Linked DNA regions of Drosophila melanogaster. The gene in region 4 interacts genetically with the main gene of each other region. Each region holds a gene or a part of one and is shown on either strand. Other genes may lie near its edges.

Region 1 (4,870 bases), about 12 Mb from region 4:
CTTTAGGCTTATCCTTATTACCTGAAATCATTATACTAAAACAAAACGTATTATTTGTGGGTCTGCCACCTCACCTGTCTCAACTAAGCTGATCGATTCGTCTTGCCCATTTTCCAAGATTCCGAGCTCCATTTTAAAACTCCTTGTCCCGTTCGTAATTGTATTTTCTATATATGAAACTTAATGAAGTTCAACTTTGACACCAAATGCAAGGGTAATAACTTGTTATTATTAATAATAATACAAACCGCTTTTCATCATAGCAGTTGTCATGGAAATCATACACAAATACTTTTTATATTCATATTCATTTATATATAAATATATTTTATTATTATTGTGAAAACTTTCATTGCTAATTTTAAAAATGGTAATTAACATACTCTTTGTTGGAATTTTTGTGTGGAGTATAGGTCCTAGGTAGTCATTACAAGAGCGTTTCCCTGTCACATTATTTACACCTGATTTGCCAAAAGACTGCTACTTTACATCCGGGCAGGGAGCAAAGCAAAATGGAAGAAAACAAAACGACCTGAGCACGCAACAAAGGTCTTTGGGAAACGCCTCAATCACGCACCTCTGATTATGCTAATGGATCTGAACCACTGTTGTTTCATAAATATTTTGACAGCTCAAGCACCGGAAACGGACGCTTGAAATTGTCCACAAGTGCCTGTATTTTAATTGGTCATTTGGTTTTGACAGTTGGAAACTCAGGCCTAGCCACTCGAATGGAAAGCTCGACCGCTCTTTAAACAAAAGTGTGTGAAATGGGTAGCAGTAGCAGGCTATTAAATAAATAAAACTTGGCCAGAAAGTTATTATTTGGCCGATACAAAACGTATCTATTCCATTGGCAGACTATTAAACCCAACATAACGCTGGAGGAATTTGCTGCTAGTAGAGCAGAATATATATGTATTTTTTGAAAATGCAATAAAATCGGCACAACATTTTTGAGAAATTGCCTCAAAAGCGAAATACATTTTATATTCAAAACAAAGTGGGTTGCAATTTCGGCCATTGGCATATGGGCAAAGTTCAGTCGCAGATAAAAGCGGCTAAATAATTTGGTTTCAGTTCGATGGCCACGAAAATTGAATGTTATTTCGATTTATGTTCCGTTTTGCGCACAATTCAATGGACTTTCGGTGAGTTTTCTACCAAAATCACGGCTGATGGATTGGATTTTAATTCCGGTGCAGCTGTCCGCGAACATACAAATATTTGCAAATCCCGCCCAAATTGTCGCATTGCGTTTGCTTATTTTTCATGTAATTCTATTTTGCGGTTTGCTTAACTGAATGCCAGCTCACGTTTATTATTTTACCATAATTGGTTTTAGCTGCCAAAAGCCGAAAATATAATTATCGCTTGGTAAGATGACCGACCGCCCAGTAACAAAAAGTTAACGGCAGAAACTTTTAAATGCTCAAAATCTTTATAAACTTTATTTATTGCGGCCAACTCGTTGGGAGTTAAGCTCCAGTTTAGAAGTTAAACAGTTAGTTATATAGTTGGCCCGCTTATTTGTTGCTGCAGCACTGGTCCTTGGGCCCATTCTTGCAAACGCACTGGCAATCCTTGTTGCAGGCGCAGTTGTCCCCGCACTTTTGGGCCGAGCACTGGCAGTCTGTCGAGGAATCGAGAACGATTGTCAATTATACAGCTTGCTGCTGCGTTGTACCACTTACTTGTTCCACAACCCTTGCAAACCATCTTGTATGTATCTATTTCTCGACTTTCACTTGGCTGAGGCGAACTGATATTCACTTGTTTGCTTGTTGCTTGGCTATTCAACTGATGACCCAGTCCGGCAACTCCCCCACTTTTATACCCACTTCGATTGCCTCGAACTCGAACGAGTGCAAAATTGCACAAATCCAAAACAAATTTGTTTGTTTGACCCAACTTATCACGTCGTGTGCAAGTCTGGGGCGAGTGGTTCGCAATTTATCAGACGATAGGCCAGGCAATTCTTTTTGCGCACGCGATTGCTCGCCAACTCGGTGCACACGAACTCCTCATCAGCTTATCAGCTGCCCACGTTGCGTATACGTTGCGTATACGCCGCGTATCGTGACTCAGCCCACAGCCCAGAAGCACACAATAAAAAGCATGAAAAGCGCAGGCAGCTACCCAGCGGGGTTTTTCACAATAAATAAAAGACTTTCCTGTAGTAAAACAAATTTAAATGCTCATATTGGCTGCAAAAACGCTTTACGACTAAACTCTTTTCAAAAAAAACCCAGCGTAAATGCCATAAAAATATCACATGTGGAAAGCTAACTAAAAATTAATAGAGGAAAAAACGCGCTGCAAATTAGGCAAAAACTATAAGCTCTGCGGGAGCTACGAAAACAGTTCGTTGCACGGAAAACCAAACACCCGGAACAACTTTATATATATTTATGACTTTTAGTAAAAAAAAAGTTTTCGAGAACAAATATAGAAATAGGCCTGACTTAGTTGTTTTTTTTTTTGCTAGGTGTACCTGCAACAAAAGAACGACTTAGATAAGTTTCCTGCAGTCTCTAACTCGGCTAGTTTTTTTACCTTTACTTTTTTACCATTTTATTTACCTTACCTTAAAAAAAAAATATCTTTAACGAGTATAATGAATATATAATTGATTCTTGTGCTTGTGTTGACCACAAGGTTTATATTTAACATCACATAAACATATATAACTTGACCAGCCAGCACCGTTCAGTTAGAGTATGACTTCAGTTCCTTACCACAAATTGCATGAATATCCTCTCGTCCCCAAAGTGTCCTTCGATTTTTCTCCGTGTAGTCCTGGGAACATTCCTGTAGAACTCAATATTTTAGAAAGTCAAGTGGCAGGTGTTCCGTTACCCCAAATTAAATTAAGTAATTATGAGGTCAGCGAAGGGTGTCTCATGCGAATTTAATGGGACACTTTTGATGGGAGCTATATAAACCTAAGACTTATTCTGTCAGCCGATCAAACAGCTGAATCATGCTGTTCCGCAAACGTAAGCCAAAAAGTGACGATGAAGTCATCACCTTCGACGAACTTACCCGGTTTCCGATGACTTTCTACAAGACCATCGGCGAGGATCTGTACTCCGATAGGGATCCGAATGTGATAAGGCGTTACCTGCTACGTTTTTATCTGGTACTCGGTTTTCTCAACTTCAATGCCTATGTGGTGGGCGAAATCGCGTACTTTATAGTCCATATAATGTCGACGACTACTCTTTTGGAGGCCACTGCAGTGGCACCGTGCATTGGCTTCAGCTTCATGGCCGACTTTAAGCAGTTCGGTCTCACAGTGAATAGAAAGCGATTGGTCAGATTGCTGGATGATCTCAAGGAGATATTTCCTTTAGATTTAGAAGCGCAGCGGAAGTATAACGTATCGTTTTACCGGAAACACATGAACAGGGTCATGACCCTATTCACCATCCTCTGCATGACCTACACCTCGTCATTTAGCTTTTATCCAGCCATCAAGTCGACCATAAAGTATTACCTTATGGGATCGGAAATCTTTGAGCGCAACTACGGATTTCACATTTTGTTTCCCTACGACGCAGAAACGGATCTGACGGTCTACTGGTTTTCCTACTGGGGATTGGCTCATTGTGCCTATGTGGCCGGAGTTTCCTACGTCTGCGTGGATCTCCTGCTGATCGCGACCATAACCCAGCTGACCATGCACTTCAACTTTATAGCGAATGATTTGGAGGCCTACGAAGGAGGTGATCATACGGATGAAGAAAATATCAAATACCTGCACAACTTGGTCGTCTATCATGCCAGGGCGCTGGAGTAAGTTTGACGGTTATATATTATATATATCTCTCAATTCATCCAAATTAAGGATAAGAACTAAACTACTACATGTTTTTCTTATAATACACTTTTCAGCCTCAGCGAGGAGGTCAACAACATATTCAGCTTCCTGATCCTGTGGAACTTTATTGCCGCATCGCTCGTGATTTGCTTCGCTGGCTTTCAGATTACAGCCTCAAATGTGGAGGACATAGTGTTGTACTTCATATTTTTTTCAGCTTCGCTGGTTCAAGTCTTTGTGGTCTGTTACTACGGCGATGAAATGATATCTTCAGTGAGTTTAATTTTTATTAATTTTTCTTGTTTTCGGTCTAGTATTAACAAGAAATGTACATTTCAGAGCTCTCGGATTGGCCATTCGGCATTTAATCAGAACTGGTTGCCATGCAGCACCAAATACAAACGCATCCTGCAATTTATTATCGCGCGCAGCCAGAAGCCCGCCTCTATAAGACCGCCTACCTTTCCACCCATATCTTTTAATACCTTTATGAAGGTAATCAGCATGTCGTATCAGTTTTTTGCACTGCTCCGCACCACATATTATGGTTAAGGGAAGATTAGATACATATATATGTATGTGCATAGGTACATCGGAATATTGATAGCAATCCATCGAATACGAAAAATACATATTTGCAAAATAAGATACTGAATTCGTTTGCAAAATACAAATACATAAGTACACATAATGTTATATAACAAGATAACAACTTGTGATCTTTAAGAAAAAACAGTATTCTATCCTAAAAAAAACCACAACAAATCAAGTTATTTAATGTGAAAAATATATAAAAATTCATAAAATTAATAAAACAAATCTTAAATTGTCATAAAAAAGATCTGTTCTGTTAACACTTTACAGATGTTATAGAGGGTAAAAGTTATTAATTAATACATGCTTTAAGGCTGTGACATAAAGTCCCCATGAAAAGAACATTAACGTTCCCGCGACAGAATACTTTGCATACTTTGCGGATCAGTCATAAAAAACGACTTGTAATACTTGTAATATATGGAATTTAAAGGTCAATCCGCAAAAGACCAT
Region 2 (5,392 bases), on a different chromosome or scaffold from region 4:
GTTTCCGCTGAAGCAGATTATTCCGGTAAATGGAAGCCGTGCTGTTGACCTGGTTGCTGCTTCGGCCTTGCTCGTAAATGTCTTCATCATCCTCTTCGGAGGCTTCGCCCGAAATTTCAGCAGCAAAAATCTGTCACAAAATGGTTTTATTATTGGACTGTTATTTATAAATGATATCCTCAACAACCTTATTCTTCTCCTGCAGCTCCTCGTCGGATTCAGAAGCTTCACCGCTCACCAAATCAGCCATCATTCAGTTTATTAAATACTATTGTAAACAATTTTTTATTTACTGCAGTTACGGCGCTGCCAGATCAGTTAAAACTGCAAACTGTTGCTCACATGGGCGCAGTTGAAGGGGATATTCTTATGTTTGTGATATCTATGCTAACAGATCCGTAGAACTACAATCATAAAAATTATTAACGGATAATGAATGGTATTAGTAACACTTTGCCCATTACTCAGAAGACGATGTAATCTCAATAAGCGCAAAACATAAATTTTAAAAGCATTTATTAAGGACTTTGAAGATTAACAAACTTTTTACATAAAACGGAGTTCTGAACAGAGTAAGAACACTATTTATTGGAAATATTTTTGCAGAGCTCCTGTCTCGAACATTCGTTTGATGTCAGTGCCACCGCCAATGAATTTGCCATCGATAAAGACGCGGGGAACCTACACAGTACACAGGTTACAAATGATAATTAATCTTTATAATGTAAAATATTTAGTGCACCCACCGTTCTGGCACCGGTAATCTCGCCCAGAACTGCCTGAATTTCGTTGCCATCGGGATTTCCATCGAGTTCTATTATGGTGGCGTCCACATTGAGCTTTTTGAAGGGCTGGAACGCAAAGATGTTTATCACTGTTTGGGACTTTTCAAGGTCTCGCAACTTTCTCACCTCTTTGGCCATCGTGCAGTAGGGACAGTAGGTCTTGCTGAATATCACCACTTTGTTGCTGGCAATGGTGTTTTCAACGAATTTCGCCTGCTTGGTGGACATGTCGACTATTGGGGATCTCAAAGCGGATCCAACTGCACCCATAAGCTCGAAATCCAGGAGGGGGTACGGAAACTTGGGGGGCAATGCGGGGAGCAATGAAAGCTGCGACAAGTGTAAGCTGCGGAGAATTATCTCTAATTTAATCAGTTTTTTAATCATTGATTAGCAATCAGCTGTTGTTGCTCTCGCCAGAGCTGCCACGTTGTGAAATTACCATCTCGTAATCATAAACATGTTTAATATTTAATTTAATTTCCATATAATCATGCTAAGTTTAAGGAATCTATTATTGTGTGTCTATTAAGAAAAGAGAAAATCGACTGTTATAAAAACAATGTTTATTCAGCGCTGTCAAAACATGCAGTGACGGTGCCACATCAACAAATTTCATATACACTAGGGGGATTCCTGAAAATTCACTTTTACTTTGACTTCATTATTTGAAACTTATATTAAATTTGCCTATATTTTGTCCGAGATAGTAAAGCAATTTTGAAATTACTTTAACAAATTATGTTAAAATGCCTTGTATGTTAAAATAATTTGGCATTGATAATTAATCTTTGTATGTCCAATTCCCTTTAATGTAATAGTTTAACGTTCAAATGCAGTAAGAAAATGTTGTGAAAAAATTAAGTTATTTTTCAGAAGTCCCCGTTAAAATATTTTAACAATTACACTGCTTATTGCACTTAAAGGCACAAATTGTAGTCTTTTGCGAGATGAGCAAACAATGTGAGTTAGCCATTTAGAAATTGTTCCAGAGCATCCTTTGTCTCCACTTCGTTGGCTTCAAGGACGACTTCCTCCAGAGCCAACTTGTTGCTGGTGGTTTGAATTTCTAAAAAAAAAGGGGCGTTAACTTAGTGCATCATATTTGTTTATGTTATCAGACTAACTTGTCAGCTGGCCGCGCTGTTTGTACTCCTCCATATCCTCCCGGAAGGCGTCGTCGAAGACAGCCTGTCGTTCCCTCTGCAGCTTCAGGAGGGTCTGCTCCTGATCCTTGATTTTGGATTGGTGTTTCTGGGCTATTTGCTGGCGATACTGCTCCAGTTCGTTCAGTTTCTTTTGCTTGTGCCGGGAGAGCTGAAACTGCTGCTCAAGGATGAACTCTTGGAGCTCACACTCCTCGCGCAGATCCTCCAGCTTCTCGAGCTCAATCTCCAACTGCTTACCCATTTCCTCCAGGGAATTAAGAACCTGTGAGCTGTTTTGCAGTTGGGCTATCAACGTGGGAATTCCCGCCAGACTACTGTTCAGCTCACTCATGATCCTGTGCTGATGGCTGGCCTGGTCTTGGATGCCGGAGATTTGGTTAGCAATCTGCGCAGCCTTCTCCGCGTTCTTTTCGTTGGCGCCATGAATCTGCTGCCAATCATCCTCGTATTTGGCAAGCAAACTGCAACCAGCTGCCACATTTAGGTGACTGGGCACTCCATCGGTTAGCTGGAAGGGAGCACTAAGGGAGAGGCTACTGCTCCTGCTGGACGACAGACTTTCGTTAAGGCCCAGTGGCGAAATGGGGGTCGTAATCCCACTGGCTTGGCTACTCCCCGAGTTTCCGGAACTGACACGCTGGCGATATTGCTGTTGCAGATTCTCCGAGATCACCAGGCCCTCCTGGATCGCACTGCTAAGCTTCTTTTTCAGGTTCCCGAACATCTTGCGACAACGGATCTCTATTTATTTAACTTAGCGATTTCTAATTGTCTTCGCGCTGGCGTTTTCCATCGAAAATTGAGTGGTAAATAAAGAATCAGCTGTTCGGGCAGGTGCTGAGAGAAAATCGGTCATAGAGAGAGAGAGAGAGCAACAGTTTGTTGCCGTACACGAGAGGCATATCAACTATGGCAAGAGCTCTGGCACGTGGTTTTTATTACTTACTAAAACTAATAAGTATTATTAACATTTCAAATTTTGCATTTTTATTTTATAATTTAAATAAAAAAATGAACCCAAAGTTGATATTATAAACAGACACAACAGGGTATCATTCGGTGGTATATTTAGTATATTACTATTAAACATAACTTAAAAAAAAACCAACCAAATATGAATCTATCTATGGCAGAGCTTATATCTGTAATAATAATATAAAAACAATATTCTTAGTTTGGTTCAACTTCAGTTTGTTTCCTTTAAAATTTCATTCTGATCTTACATAACGATTCTCTAACTAAAGTTTAGCCTAATTAATCCTCGGTCAGGTCCACTGTAGTGACAGCTGTGCTATCGTCCACTTGTTGATTTGTGCTATCCGATTGAGACGGATATTCAGGTTCAGACGCAGGTTCAGTTTCACATGCCTTTTTTTTGGGCTCTTCATGGTACTCAATTATCTCAATATCACTATTATCACCAGATTCTAGGGTTATACAGCTGCGTACGCTGTTCTTTGCTTCTGAATCTGAGTCCGAGCTTGATTTATTGCCGCTGGACTCGGAGCTCGAGCTTACTTTAATGGTGAGAACATTTGGCTCTTCGTCGCTGGATGAAATGGACAGGGCCTCGGGCTTCTCGGATTTGTCCACCTCTTCGTCGGACATAAGTTCCCGGAATATATCGCTTATAGGAGAGGAGGAGTGTTCCTTAGACTCGCTGGCTTTCTTTTGGCTGCTCGGGTTTAGTAATTGACCATAGGCCATGGCCACTGCAAGAGCCATTTGCTTGGAGTGGTTTAGGAACACATCTGAAGGCGGGGGTATACGTAACGACTCGCTGGGTGCGGATTCCCAATCGCAACCGCTGCTGCTCTGGCTGCTTCTTCGTCTTCTGTGTGATTTTTTGTGTTTTTTAACCTTCTTTTTGCGCTTTTTTCGCCGATGTGAACTGCTGCGACTTCGACTGCGGCTTGAACTTCTGCTGCTCCTAGTTCTTCTTCGGCTGCGATGCTTCTTGGCCTTTTTGTGGCGGCTCCTGCTGCGCCTTCTGCTGGAACTTCTGCTTCTATCAACACTTTGAGTTCTGGGTGCATCGCGGCTGTAAAAGTAGTTGGACTTCCTCCTTTCGTGCACATCATCCAGATCCTGCAGCTTCTGTCGGCAATTTGCCTGTGTGCGCTCCTTTTCTCTATCATTATGCCGAATCGCGGTGTTTATGGTGCGGCCTAAGAAGCGTTTGTTTAGTTTGCCCAGAGGATTCACTTTGCGTTCGCTTTGTTTCGAGGTGCTGACACTGGCATTTGCACCTTCGATCTCGCGCATTAGCTCGGCAATCGCCTGACTAACGTGAGAGCATCAAATTAATTAAAAATATATCGGATTGTAATATAAATATTTACTTTGTTAGGTCTGCGTCCATTTCCATTTTTTGTGTTTGTTTATGGCATTTAATTGAATACCAATTGCTGCGAAACAAAAAATACCGCGGACGGTAAGTGCTACTTATAAGTATTTTTAAAATACTAAGTATAAAGCGATTATTGTATGTGCGTTAAATTAGCGTCGATGAGTTCGCGGCGATGACGGAACGGTGGAAATCAAAACATGGGGACGTTTTTTATTTATTTATTTCTTTTCGTTATTTGGAGGTGAATTGCAAAAAATAAAATAAAGATCTTACTAACTATTCCCACATTTTCGGGAATTTCTCCACTCGTAGAGCGTGACCACTTTTAAGGACATTTCTTTAGGGAAACGGCGGGGCAGACGTCAAGACATTCGTTGGGCCACGGGTGACAGTCGGTCGGGCGGGGCAGCAGGTGGGACAGTAAGCGTGGGGAGCCAAGTTTTCAAGTGCATATTTCATATACTTTCTTGAGTCCTATGAACTTAAGTCGTACATAGGTAGTTAGATATTTTTTTAAACGTTATTGCATTTTTTTGAATTCAATAATGAAAGAATAAATTATTCAAAATTCCATCGTTCCTCCGTTCCTCCTACACTAGCGATATTCTTGTCGATTAATATTGTCAGAGTAATCTTTTCTGCAAAATACCACAAATTAGTCCAACGATATCGATTGGCACAATCATCGATTAAAGTTTAAAAAATGACGACCGGCCGCAATAAATTGAATTTCTAGTTGGTTAAAGTAACGTTTATTGAAGAAGATCACATAATCGAGTACGACTAATATCACAGGTGAATCACAATCTTTATGTTTCAGATTCCTGGCCAACTATTTCCTGCCGTCTATCACTTTCTGCATCCAGGACACGTATTTACTGACGCGCGTGTAGATTCCGGGCAAACCTGGACGTGCACAGCCGATCCCCGTGGACACCACGCCCACCAGATGATGCTCCTTGGACATCAGCGGACCGCCAGAATCCGCCTGTGAAGGTAAGTAAACCCGGAGCATAACATGTGTGCCGTATCAGCCAAGTGAATACTCACCCAACACGAGTCGATTTGACCGTTTTCATAACCGGCAC
Region 3 (7,005 bases), on a different chromosome or scaffold from region 4:
TCCCTCAGTCGATGATGCGTCTGGGCGTCCAGGATGTCGTTGAGGCCCTTGTGAATCGCCTGCGACGATGTCTCCATCTGTGTGAGCACCGTGGCATGTTCATCCACACCGGGCAGAGCCGGCTCCTCGCCCACTTGGAAGTCCACGTAGACGATCTTGTGCGAGAAGGCCGAGAATTGATTGCCAAAGCAAGCGGTATACACGCCCGTTGTCTCGGCAACGAACTGATGACTATCGAAGGTGGCCTTCTCCAGACTGTAGATGACCTTGCCCTGCGGATCCTTCAGGGTGACGTCCACGTCCAATTGGCCACCGGCCGACACCTGGAACTCAAAGTAGGCGCTCGAGTTCTTCTTGATCTCCTCGTAGAAGCAATCCACCGCGTTATCGGCCAGATCGAAGGTGAATTCGACGGCAGAGATGCAGTGCATCATCAGAGCTACCGCAAATACAACGATTTGTGTGTTCATGGTTCGCCCTTTTTGCTTTTTGGTATTCCCTGCTGGATTCGTATGATTCCCTGCTTCACCGCCTGTTATTCTTCCAGCTGCAAAAGAAATGCGCTCGGTCAGTGCCAAGATTCCGGCCAAATGCTATGCCACCTGTCATTCCAATTCCATTTACTTACCAGCCTCCGTCCGGATTACGTGACGTGTTTTTGTTATTTGTGATATGCTATCGATATCGCCAGCATTCGGCGTTTTGTGTTATTCGCCGCACGATAGGTCTGGGGTTCTGACGTGTCAACACTCTTTTCCGCCACTCGCTGTGCAGCACTGCGGACCCACGTATATGCTATCGGCTACTGAGCAGCAGAGTTGCCACTCTTTTTTTTTCTTTGGCGCCATTATCAAAAATTGTTAAGCACTTAAAAATAAACTTTAACAATAAACATAGTTGTATACATATATGATTAAAAATTTACATATATATATTTTTTTTATATATTTATATTATAAATTTTAAAAGTACTAATTTTTTAAAAATGTACATTTCAGAATTTGAATTGTAAAGCCATAATTCTTTAAGAGTAAATGGAGAAAAAAAGAAAAGCGGAACACCGTCTACACCTGCAGGTGTATCAGTTCTTTCTTGGAGAGAACGGTGATCAGATTGTTTGCCGTGGTTATGCCCAGAATCTCGTCAATCTCGTTGCCCAAGGTGATGAGCTTTTGTTTACCCAAGGTGACGGGAGGTCCGTTTCGCCTGCGGAGACCATCAGCCGAATTATTAGCCGGAAAGTAGACGAGAACGTAGCGTACAGGGTCACATATGGCTACGTAATCCAGATCCGGACTGCAGACGGTGAATTTCCGCACAACCTTGGAGGCCTGCACGTAGCCGAAGGCGTGCAGCTGGCCCTCGTGGCGGACACTCCATTCATCTGGACGACTGGGCTGGTACATCTGTAGCCATATGGAGGCGTCGACGCCCTGGCGGGTAGCAAAGGCGGCTGGAAAGCCAGGACGCAGCGTGGTGGTGAGCACCAGTGGCGGGGGACCAAGAAAAATAGTGTGGGTGATGCACCCGCTGGTCAAATTGAAGCGTACTAAAAGAAGAAAATGTATTTATTAAGCATATGCAGCAGATGTATAATAGAATGCTTACCCATCTTCATTTCTTCATCAGCGGATATTAAGTCACATTCTTCAACGGGATCCTGCAGACTTGGAATGGGCAGTGGTGGAGCTTCCATTGGATGTACTTCCTCCGCTACGTCATCTTTCTTCTGCGCGAACAAACGTGGCCAGTTCTGAATCTCCGCCTTGGTTAGTGACAATTCTAGGCCATTCTCAGCCAACTTAAATGCACTTAAATCATCTCCCACACTGGCGTATAACTCTTCGTCGAATATAACCTCATCCAGATGCTTTACAACGACAGTGGTTTTAGAACCGCTCACGTTAAACTCTTTAGCGGATGCAGTTGAAGGAACATTGAAACGAATGAGCACATTATTATCCGTTTGGGACCAGCTATAACTAGGTGGACCTCCATTTTCCAGCTGGCCATCGTGATCACCTGAGGAATTCAAGCGGGCAGCGGCTGCTTCATCGGCTGCCCGACGCTCCTCGGGAGTCTGAACATCGCGGTTGCTGGCAATGACTAGGGACTCGGCGCGAGGCTCAAAGGCGCAGTAGTGCACAGAGCCAGTGGTCTCCAGCCGTTGACAGATATTATATGACCACTCGTCATTGGTGGGCGAATGAGTCCACCGTGCCCAGGTCAAGTCCATGTAATAGACGTGCGTCTGATCTTGGCCAACTGCATCACGGCGTGCCACATGACCGGCCACCAGCGAGATCTGCTTACGTTCCTGCAGCACATCCAGCCGGGCATCGAAGAGTGCAAAGCCGCGATGACCACTGTTATTATTCACCGGCGAGCGTGTAATCCGTTGCCACTCCTGCACATCGGTGCGCGTTCTGTCGCCGGTGTCCACCAGATGGTAACTGGTTATACCGTCGCAGATCACACAGAATCGTTCCGAAACGAAAACTATGGTGTAGTTGTAGTCACCCGACCGATGTAGTTCCCCATCGCCCTGATCCCTATAGTCCACCGTGAGGACAACGCGCTGGGCACGTGCGCGTCCAGTCTGTAGATCGTAGTTGCACTGCACCAGCTGGTGGCGCTTGTTAAAGAAGTAGCTGCAGTGGCGCATCCATGGATCGGCTACCAGGTGATTGTGTCGGGCAAAGAGCTCCGTGTGCAGCAGCGAGAACTGATTGCTGCTCGGATCCAGCACGTAGGCATCACATCCAAGTTCCTGGCGAAGAACAGGCACCGAATCGAATGCCAATTTGTAGCCAGAAAAGTCCGAGCACACCAGGTTGCGATCCACTTTCAGTTCCACCACCGGCATCTTGCTTTACTGCGCCAATGCTGAGTTGGATTATATTGGAGATTTCGAAAAAATAGAGATAGATATTCCAAAACAAATCAAATCAAATCGGTAGTAGACCGGATAGAGATGGCAGATGACCGTTCGGCCGTGACTCGTATCGACTTTTTATCGACAAGTGGGGGATATGTACGATACCTTGGCAATTTTCAAATCTAATAAGATTCCTTTTTTTAGTTTGAAATTTAACTAAACAATTAAATAGCTAAAAAGAAAACATTAGTTAGTCACATATTTTTTTATCGAATCGAAAGTTTAAGCAATGTATCGATATAGCCCACATCGGTATCTAGCTCATCTCGATAGCGCCTGCCTATCGACGGACGGCCATCGGTAGTTGCGTGCCGTGGGAAAAACATAACGGGAGCGGAGCAGCTGTTGCCTGCTAATTGAAAAATTAGACACAAGAACGCAAAATTGTGAGTTTCGTGTGGAGTTTGGCCAAGTGAAAAGCGTTGGCGGGAGGCGACTACTCCACCACAACAAATCCAGTAGTAGCTGCAATACGACTCACCCGACTCCACAAAGTTAGTTTAGTGACACAATTCGGTACGTGCGATAGGGCGAGGGGCAACTCAAAAGTTCAAAATCTCAAGTATATCAAGTAATTCCGCATCGTCGTGTTCCGCCCACCCAAAATAATGCACATTGAGGATGCCAAGTGACGAGAGAGTAGAAGCGACGATGTCCACGGTGCGCCTGCCCATTGTGGGCATGACTTGCCAGTCGTGTGTGCGCAATATCACAGAGCACATTGGCCAGAAATCGGGAATCCTTGGCGTGCGCGTCATTCTCGAGGAGAATGCGGGCTATTTCGACTACGATCCCCGACAGACGGATCCCGCCCGGATAGCCAGCGATATCGACGACATGGGCTTCGAGTGCAGCTATCCAGGGGATGCAGCAGATCCTCCCGAAACTCCCGCCAGCGCATGGACCAACATACGGGTGGTGGGCATGACCTGCCAGTCGTGCGTGCGCAACATCGAAGGCAATATCGGCACCAAGCCGGGCATCCATTCCATTGAGGTGCAACTGGCGGCCAAGAATGCCCGCGTTCAGTACGATCCCGCCCAGTATGATCCCGCCCAGATAGCCGAGCTCATCGATGACATGGGTTTTGAGGCTAGTGTGCAGGAACCTCGATCGCCATCCCAATCGCCGTCGCCCGCCCCCGCCTCATCACCCAAAAAGAGGGCAACTCCTACTCCTCCACCTCCTTCATATGCTCAAAATGGTTCGGCAGTGGCCATACCCGTCGAACAGGAGCTACTGACCAAATGCTTTCTGCACATCCGAGGCATGACGTGCGCCAGCTGTGTGGCCGCCATCGAGAAGCACTGCAAGAAGATCTACGGCCTGGACAGCATCCTGGTAGCCCTGCTGGCCGCCAAGGCGGAGGTCAAGTTCAATGCCAATGTTGTGACGGCCGAGAATATAGCGAAATCAATCACGGAGCTGGGCTTCCCCACCGAACTCATCGATGAGCCGGACAACGGCGAGGCGGAGGTGGAGTTGGAGATTATGGGCATGACTTGCGCCTCCTGCGTCAACAAGATCGAGAGTCATGTGCTTAAAATAAGGGGCGTGACCACCGCCTCCGTCACACTGCTAACAAAGAGGGGTGAGTGTTTTTTGTGTACTTAAGCTAAGTGGCTTTCTGGAACTAGTTTATCCCGAGAGAATTTCAAATCACGTTCTGGGTCATGCATTCGAATCGAATTGCGAGTCTGGAAGCATTCCACAAGTGGCAGTGCCAATTGTTATGCAATATTTATAATAATAAACACCTGGAATGGGGCCATCAACCGATATGCACCTGTTGCGCTTTATTCTTGCCCAACGAGCACAGGTGTTAAATTCGATCATATATCTTGTATATCTTAAGGGATCGAATAATGCAATGGGAGTAATGAGCTGTAACAGAAGCAAACTATTGGCAATCGTTAATTGATGCAACTTGTGGCAATAACAAATATTAAATAAGCCATTCAAGGGAATTTCGTAGAATGCCCTTATTTGTTTTGCATTTCGCAGAAAGCGACAGCTGTTCCTTTTTATTAACCTACTAGCATCGAGTTCGAGTAGAATCGGTGCAAATGTTTTTTTTTTTTTTATTGTTCGCTTTTCACAATTTCCACAATTGAAAACTGGCCCAGCAATTGTTTATTGCAACTGATATACTCGATTTACTTTATGCTTTTTTTTCTGGGGAGGGTGGCAGGTTCGTTGATAAGAAAGTGCGAGGAGCACTATACTCATATGCATGTATGTATGTATGTACTTTATAAACCATACACTACTAACTATGCTTTCAGCAAACAATGCCAGTGGCAACTAGATTAAATAGCTGGAATTCACCACGCTCGTGTGCGTGGGCAGTAAAGCTATCTGGAACACTTGGATGAGGGGAATTCAATGGCAAGCCGAGAGTCGGGATATTTAAAATATTCAAGATATTCGCTAAAAAACACATAATATAATTATTGTTTTGTTGGGCGCTGGCAGCTCGAGTTTTATTTGCCAGATTATAGCGTGTTTTTTGCGAGTGTTCAGGAAGAACTTATATATACATATTTATGTATGCGATTAGCTGACAAAGAACAAATGAAATGATTTGAGCTCTTTGTTTTCATAAACTTTATACTGCCAATCGCATTTACCAATTAGCATTTAAGCCATGAAACTGAAAGTCCGCCTGGCCAAAGAAAAATCAAAACAAAAGTGAAAGAGCTCCAATACGCCTTGAAATACAAGTACATACATATAATGTATGTACATATATATGTATGAATGTATAATAATTTATATACCCGCGATTGGCGGGCAAACGAGCGAGGAACTAATCTCGCTTTTGTCTGGAAAAAAAGAGGGAAACCTCTCTCTTTTTCAGCTTTGCAGTCTTTCTGCTCCGCATGCGTGGCCACGAACTCCACTTCCACTTCGTACACAGCGAGAAATGGGGCTAACTATGATATAAGTATTATATAGAAGAGTGCTATCTACTTCGGCATATGATCAGCATATAAAATCTACTAATATTTAAAAGCACGAATCGTACAATGTTTAGCAAGTTTCTTTTATTTTATGTTAAGCACGCACTTTTTCTTCGAGTGCATTTCTAGTTTCATTCACCTTCACTTTGATTTAGAGCTGTTTTTACTTTACTTTTGCTTTGCCAGCTCAAAAATGTTGATTTGAAATTAGTGAACTAGTGGCGAATTATGCAATAACTTGGCTTTGATCCACCACATTCACATTGAATTCTGGCTGATTTACGAATATCGGTTTGCATACCCGTATTTATGTATGTACTAGATGTACGTGCGCCGTTTTGAGAAGCTCAATTGCAAATTCAAAAATGAAAATGCATAAATGGGGAGCCTCGTAATTATGATTGCAATGGAACTGGTTTTCGATTTTTTCGCATTCGACATGGAGACATGCGCACGGTGGAGAAAAGCGAGCGAAACTGTTGCGATTAAATGACACTGAAAATAATTTCAGACATTCAAAAGTGGTATGAAAACAGCGAGCCCACATGAATATCAATCGCTGGCAGCTGTATGATGGTATATAAAGTACAATATCGCTTGTTTTTTTAAAGTTTATTTGTTTATTTTGAATTTACATATATACTTATTAAGATACTTAATTGTATTGTAATCATTTTCGAAAAACAATTACGTACCAGTCATGCTTCTGAAAGAGTTCATAGATGTTTTGGGCCAGCGAAGTTGGACTTCTGCCATATGGATTGGTCCAATTCCGTGCGGCTTCTTATCTTTCAATCAATTAGCACTTAAACTTCATTTAACTAGCTTAACTTGTTGTTTGCCAATTGTTACTTGGCTTGTTTGCAGTTTGTTTGCCGCAAGTCGGTAGTCGAAATTGGGAATGTAAACTGTTGAGCAAAACATATGTTTTCCTCCGATTCTTATCGTCCGGCGATAAGTGAACGACAGAGAACGAACCACAGGCAATCTCAATTCAAATTGAAAATGTTCTAAAATTGTAACAACGAATCGCGGGCGATAAGATGCAATGGGCGGGCAAATAAAAGAAAGAAAGAACAAAAAAACTGAATCGAGAGCCCTAGA
Region 4 (6,119 bases):
GTGGCGGCAGTCTCCATCCCATTTGATCTATGGATCTGTTTAAGTAGATCAGCGAATCCCGGGATCGAAATAAGGATCCAAGGACTGGCTCTTGAATGTACTTAAAAATCATTTTTGAAAGTTTAGAGGTTTCGATTGACTTGAACTTTGTCACCTGAAGACTGAGGGCAGTACCCTAAACTAGTTGCATTTATACGCGTTGTTTAATTGTCCAATGCTAGTTAGTTATTCACGAAAAGAACCGCCTTTATTTGCGTGCAAAATTGCACAGGTTGTTTTGAGGGGTGTGTCTTCATGTCTTAAATAATTGACAATTGTTCCCATATTGTCCCTTTCGCAGGAGTGGTTGTTAATTACTTTATTTATGGTCCTGTGAAAATAGCTTCTCTGCTGAACCTTAATCATTCTTCAATCTCAAGAATAGGATACACCCATGTGCACCTATCCTTAAGTAGTGTTCTATGCGCCAAGGGGAAATCTTTGCGTCATCGCTCAAAGTGCATTTCCGCACGTTCCGGGCATTCAAATTGTGTTTTCCCAGTCACAATCGGGGCACCCACATCCGCAGTTCTAAGAAGCAAATGGTAGCGATTTTCAGCCGAACAAACGGCTCTCCACTCAACTTGGGCTGCCGCTCGCCAATCCTCCTCCGCTCCGCCGCTCCACCGCTTCTGCAGGTCCCACTCCTAGCCACTCGGCTCACTCATTTGCCACCGAAACTAATTAGACGCAAATGTGCTTTTGTTCGCCTTCCCATTCCCAGGCAACGCTCTTTGTTCGCATTTTGTACTGGGAACCGGGAATAGCTTTCGGATGATACTGTGGCATACTCTGGCATATGAACAGTTTCCGAAAACAGTTTTTCATATTTATGTTAAAATGTATAGACACTTCCTTTATTCCTTTATGTTACCAACCTAACTAATCCGCAATCTTCTCTTTGCAGAGTCGCAGTGTCCGCAGTATGGCGAGGTGAACCAGCTGGGCGGCGTCTTTGTCAACGGCCGTCCGCTGCCCAATGCGACCAGGATGCGGATCGTGGAGCTGGCCCGCCTGGGCATCCGACCCTGCGACATATCGCGCCAGCTGCGAGTGAGTCACGGCTGCGTGTCCAAGATCCTGGCCAGGTACCACGAAACGGGCTCCATACTACCCGGCGCAATTGGGGGATCCAAGCCGCGCGTGACCACACCCAAGGTGGTCAACTACATCAGGGAACTGAAGCAGCGAGATCCCGGCATCTTTGCGTGGGAAATCCGGGACCGTTTGCTCAGCGAGGGCATATGCGACAAAACGAATGTACCCAGTGTGAGCTCCATATCGAGAATCCTGCGCAACAAGTTGGGCAGCCTGGGGCATCAGCACACGCCGGGAACGGTGATGGGCAGCGGAAGCAGCAGCGGTGGCGGCAGTGTGTCCAGCAATGGTGGACAAAACAATGGCACGAGTGCCAGCAATAATATTAATCTGAGCAATCTGGGTAATCCCGGCGGTGGACCGCACCATCCGCACCACCATCATCATCATCAGTCAGCGGCGGCGGCGGCAAGTGCCCATCATGTGCACGCCCACGCCCATGCCCACGCCCACCTGTACAACTCCATCTACCAGCCGTACAGTGCTGCGGCGGCCTACAGCATGAAGACGCCCTGTGGAAGTCCATCCCCGCCGCAGGGAGCGGGCGGTCAGGGATCAGTGCCCCATCCCCACCAGCTGAGGAGTGTGGCCGCCGCAGCCGCTGCCGCCCACTGGCCCTCCTCCCACTCGGTCAGCGATATCCTGGCCCACCATCAGGCTGTTGCCCTGCGCGCCAGTTGCCAAGTGGGCGTCGGAGTGGGTGGAATGGGCGGCATGGGCAGTACGGTATCCCCGCTGCCGATGACTCCTTCGCCGGTGGCGGGAACGGCCGGTGGTCAGCCACTGCTCGACTGCGAGGGTGGGGCGGGACAGCAGTCGCCGTACAACTACTACATGTACTTCCAGAACGGCGGAATGCATCACCACCATCATCACGGCGGAATGATGGCCGCTGGAGCCACGGGCTTATGATTGGGTGGTCTATAATCAGCGGATTGGTTGCGGGTCTAGCTACTTTCGATCGCGGTTGTTCAGTCTAGGTTACTCTAGTCTAAGAGCTAGTTAGGGAATGGTCTCATCATGGCGCTCACTTGTCACTCAAATTTTAAACAAATGCACTAAAAGAACTTATAATTATCCCGGAAATTTCAAAATAATTTAAACTTTAACTAAGAAGCTTGCAAATACTGGTGTGTGGTTAGGCAAGTACAAATAGATAAAGTGTCGTAAAAAAATGTGTGCGAGATGATTCACATAATCATAAGGTTTGCTTAGTTATATTACCTGCCCAGATGTATCACAGCTAAAATATTTGTTAAAAAGATTTTTCAAGATCTTAACTAAACTAAAATATGTACTATTGTGTGATAGGTGAGTATCGTGATTAGTTAGGCCTTCAAATGTGAGTTGTGGGCTGTCAGGACTCAGACCTGGTAATGTTCGCATTTCATAACGAATTTCATGTAATCCTGGAGATTTAACTTTGCCTTCTTTTTTGTCTCATATCGGATTGTTTGCGTTTTGAGTTCGGGGTGGTCAAAAATAAAGTGTATTGCTTATAAAAACATATTGTAAAGTCAAAAGTATTGAGTAGTACTTTAATCGCTTTAGATGAATACGCGTTGTATAGGTTCTTGTTCTCATGACTACACTATTTGTACAATATGCTCATTAAGTAAACTAGTTGACTAATTTATGCTACGATTACATCAATAACAATTAAACCAAGTGTAACTATCGAATAAAATTGTATTTTTAAACAATTTGTATAATTACGTGGGGACGGGACTTTTTCTTTGATGTGTGAACCAAGAACTGATAAGGGCTTAGTTTATAACAATTGCAAGATATATAAACAATTAAGAGCGATATTCTTGATCTAAGGACAGCACTCGCTCTCGTCGGGATTCTTCTTGTTCCAGCCGAAGAAGAAGTAGCCCAGACCCAGTCCCAGGATCACTGCCAGGCACAGCCAGTAGTTGAAGGTCATGAAGATCAGCATCAGCAGGTACGAGATGACGATCTGCAGCAGGTTCAGCAGGGACTGGACGATGTGCGACGAGGCGAACAAGCGCTGCCAGTAGGTCTGCTCCCTCGGCTCCGCCAGGGGAGCTTCCGAGCAGCATCCTCCGGCTGCCGGAGCCTCGTTCTTCCTACGCTGCTCCGCCGCCAGCTGCTCGCTTGCTCGACGGGCTTCCCTGCGCGCCAGTTGCTGTCGCAGGAACTTGAGCGCCTCATACAGGAAGGACACCAGGAAGATGGCCAGGGCGGAGAGCACGAACTCCGTCACAGTGGACGCCACCCATCCGCGCCACAAAATTCGCTCGCAGTGTCCAGCGTGGAACTGAAAGGATGCGAGAGTGAAAGATTAACTACATAAGAATCCATAAGATCAGTAAGATGAGGCTTAAATACCAGTTAACTACCACTAATTACCACTTAATAACTTTCTAATTCGTATCTATATCTAGATTCCTAGATATCTAATATCTAGGTATATCTATATGGTCACTTTTGCTAAGATGATCCTTAATACAAAAGTTTAATATTACTTTTAGTTTTATAAAATATCAAGCTTAAGCTTTCCAATTAAACATCAACATAAACATAACATTCGAATTAAACATCTTTTTTATAATTCCCTTACAGCGGTATAATTTAACCCATGAATCTTTATTCATGAGACACCCTGTTCGAGCATATTCAATTTGTATTATTTGTATTTGCTGAGAGCGAATAAAGCGCTAGAGAGCGAATAATTCGTTGTGGTTTCTGGCACATAAACATACTTATACGAACTTATACTAGGGAGTGACTAGCCAGAGAATTCAAATTCCAAGTCGGACGAGATATTTGTTTGCTCTCCGTGCAAATCTCATTCAGCTAAACTGGATGAGTGACTTTTAAATTACAGCGTTTAGCGCAGTGGTAAGTGATTTTGTATCAAAATTGTTGGACACAGGAGTTGTGTAACTGCGTACTCACCACCATGATCATAGGGCAGGACTTGGCCGTGCTGGTGCTGTCATCCGAGCCGTGATCCATCTTGGGCTGCTGGTGTAGTATAGATATAGATAGAAGGCGTGGAAAATCCGACTGGCGATCGGGGAGGCACAGTGATAAGAGCTAGACCTGCTGAGGTGCTGAGAGCAGAGCGTTGACTGCTTGAAACCCGCTGCTCGCGAGTGGTTTTTTAAAGAAAATCGCACCTAATCCCCCGACGCGGCGATAGGAAAGTGCGCTTATCTATGGGCAATGGGAAAGAGCGTTATCACCCAGTAGCGGCGATACCAACGATAGTCGCCCCACACTAAGAAAGGCAGCCCAGATACAGTCATGTAAATAAACATAAATGCATGCAGATCTCAGTGTTAGAGGTCAGATCAAAAGATATATTCTGGGTATCAGTTGCAGATCTTTATCTCGAGAGATAAAATCCATAATTGATGCGTCGTGGGTTTCTCTGCGGTTTGCAGCTTAATTTATGGACTCATGGCAAAGGTTCGACAATCGATTCGTGTGCAGAATTTATTGCAATTCAGATTATCAATCATGGGCTAATACAACCCCCTGAAATTGTTGCTGTAATACATGATGTTGAAATAATTCCATTATTTCTTCGCTTCGATCACGGTTTTATGGCTCTAGTCGAGTACATTCATACGTAGGTATATGCCCATATTCCGGCATGGGAGCGATAGCAACCGTCGGCCGCCGGATCGCCGGAGGTCTGCCTTAGTCCACTTGGCTTTCCTAGAGTGTTATTTCTTACTGTGCTATTTCTAACTGGGATAGAATGCCGCCAAAATTGATGGCCGTGCGCAAACCTTCTGCGGCCGTGTGCATAAATTCTACGGACATTCCTGCGCCGTGTGCCAATTTCGAAAAATGGGCGACGTGCGCAAAACATTAACGATATTGCAGAGGGGTAAATGGTTGGGTCTACGCAAAAAAGAGAGCAAAAGCTTTTGCTAAACTGCTTAGGTGGAGATAACTGTAAAGAAGCTTTAGTTATTAGTATTGGTAAAACGAAGAACTACATTCCGCATATGTTCTTCTGTGTTTAGATATATAAATATGACTTTGGTGAAACACAACTCAAAAGTTAACAATTAACACAAGTTGTTTACAACTTTAATATATTTGTCTTTGAAACTTAAATTCAAATTTTTATCGCCAAATGCAGCAGTGCCACCGGATCATATTGTTTTTTCATCTATCCGGCAACTCTTTGTCTGCCTTTACCCGGATGGCAGCCCTTTGACATTCCCAACCAAAGTTCCATTAAACATCTTGCCATTTTTTGACTGTGAGTTTACGAACAAATACAACTTAACATCGTGTGACTTAATGCTTTAATCGTTGAAGGTGCTAGTGCAAGGCAAATCGCAATGTATGCGCTTCGACACCTGCGACTCCAGAGCGCTAGGCACTTCCGCAGCTCTTATGCAGCGGCGGCAACAACAAAACACATGCTGCCCCGGCAACCAGCGCGTGTTCTGATTGGAGATTGGAGCACTTGGGATAAGTCCCGGCTGCAGGATGTATGCTCCAGGAGTTCGAGTACCGCCACTGAGCCCGTGAAGCAGCAAACGCCGCTGCAGGAACTCGTGTCGGCCGCCAAACCCTATGCCCAACTAATGCGAATCGACCGGCCTATTGGCACCTACCTCCTTTTCTGGCCTTGCGCCTGGAGCATAGCGCTCAGCGCGGATGCGGGCTGCTGGCCGGACCTCACCATGCTGGGTCTGTTCGGCACCGGGGCACTGATAATGCGCGGCGCCGGGTGCACCATCAACGATCTCTGGGACAAGGACATCGATGCCAAAGTGGAGCGCACGAGGTTGCGGCCCTTGGCCTCGGGTCAGATCAGTCAGTTCGATGCCATAGTATTCCTCTCGGCGCAGCTCAGTCTGGGTCTTTTGGTGCTGGTCCAGCTCAACTGGCAATCCATATTGTTGGGCGCCAGTTCGCTGGGCCTCGTGATCACGTATCCGCTGATGAAAAGAGTCACCTACTGGCCCCAGCTGGTTCTGGGCATG

Evidence for each region.
Region 1: of Ctr1B (region 4) and MtnB, changing one suppresses a phenotype caused by changing the other (phenotypic suppression), as found in Drosophila melanogaster (one study listed by BioGRID).
Region 2: of Ctr1B (region 4) and Grx1, changing one enhances a phenotype caused by changing the other (phenotypic enhancement), as found in Drosophila melanogaster (one study listed by BioGRID).
Region 3: of Ctr1B (region 4) and ATP7, changing one suppresses a phenotype caused by changing the other (phenotypic suppression), as found in Drosophila melanogaster (one study listed by BioGRID).

The regions. Positions count from the first base shown.
Region 1 is NT_033777.3:20,501,812-20,506,681, forward strand, and holds MtnB (metallothionein B), read right to left. Parts: upstream 1,808-4,870; 5' UTR 1,720-1,807; coding exon 1,695-1,719; intron 1,634-1,694; coding exon 1,527-1,633; 3' UTR 1,291-1,526; downstream 1-1,290. Other genes in the region: CG46441 (uncharacterized protein), read right to left, coding at 1-21, 75-132; Or92a (odorant receptor 92a), read left to right, coding at 2,984-3,798, 3,898-4,096, 4,163-4,375. UniProt on the Drosophila melanogaster protein: This protein binds cations of several transition elements. Thought to be involved in metal ion homeostasis.
Region 2 is NT_037436.4:18,865,166-18,870,557, reverse strand, and holds Grx1 (glutaredoxin 1), read right to left. Parts: upstream 1,329-5,392; 5' UTR 1,228-1,328; intron 1,221-1,227; exon of another isoform or gene 1,132-1,220; 5' UTR 1,056-1,131; coding exon 912-1,055; intron 852-911; coding exon 747-851; intron 682-746; coding exon 586-681; 3' UTR 501-585; downstream 1-500. Other genes in the region: Blos3 (biogenesis of lysosome-related organelles complex 1, subunit 3), read right to left, coding at 1-130, 188-250; Dysb (dysbindin), read right to left, coding at 1,754-1,854, 1,913-2,678; CG14074 (uncharacterized protein), read right to left, coding at 3,209-4,219; CG6865 (uncharacterized protein), read right to left, coding at 5,137-5,292, 5,355-5,392.
Region 3 is NC_004354.4:11,851,793-11,858,797, forward strand, and holds the start of ATP7 (ATP7), read left to right. Parts: upstream 1-3,229; 5' UTR 3,230-3,559; coding exon 3,560-4,529; intron 4,530-7,005. Other genes in the region: p24-1 (p24-related-1), read right to left, coding at 1-470; CG10347 (uncharacterized protein), read right to left, coding at 1,065-1,549, 1,609-2,866.
Region 4 is NT_033777.3:8,315,740-8,321,858, reverse strand, and holds Ctr1B (copper transporter 1B), read right to left. Parts: upstream 4,248-6,119; 5' UTR 4,123-4,247; coding exon 4,063-4,122; exon of another isoform or gene 3,853-4,062; intron 3,422-3,852; coding exon 2,957-3,421; 3' UTR 2,654-2,956; downstream 1-2,653. Other genes in the region: Or85a (odorant receptor 85a), read right to left, coding at 1-112; Poxm (Pox meso), read left to right, coding at 947-2,049; Coq2 (coenzyme Q biosynthesis protein 2), read left to right, coding at 5,469-6,119.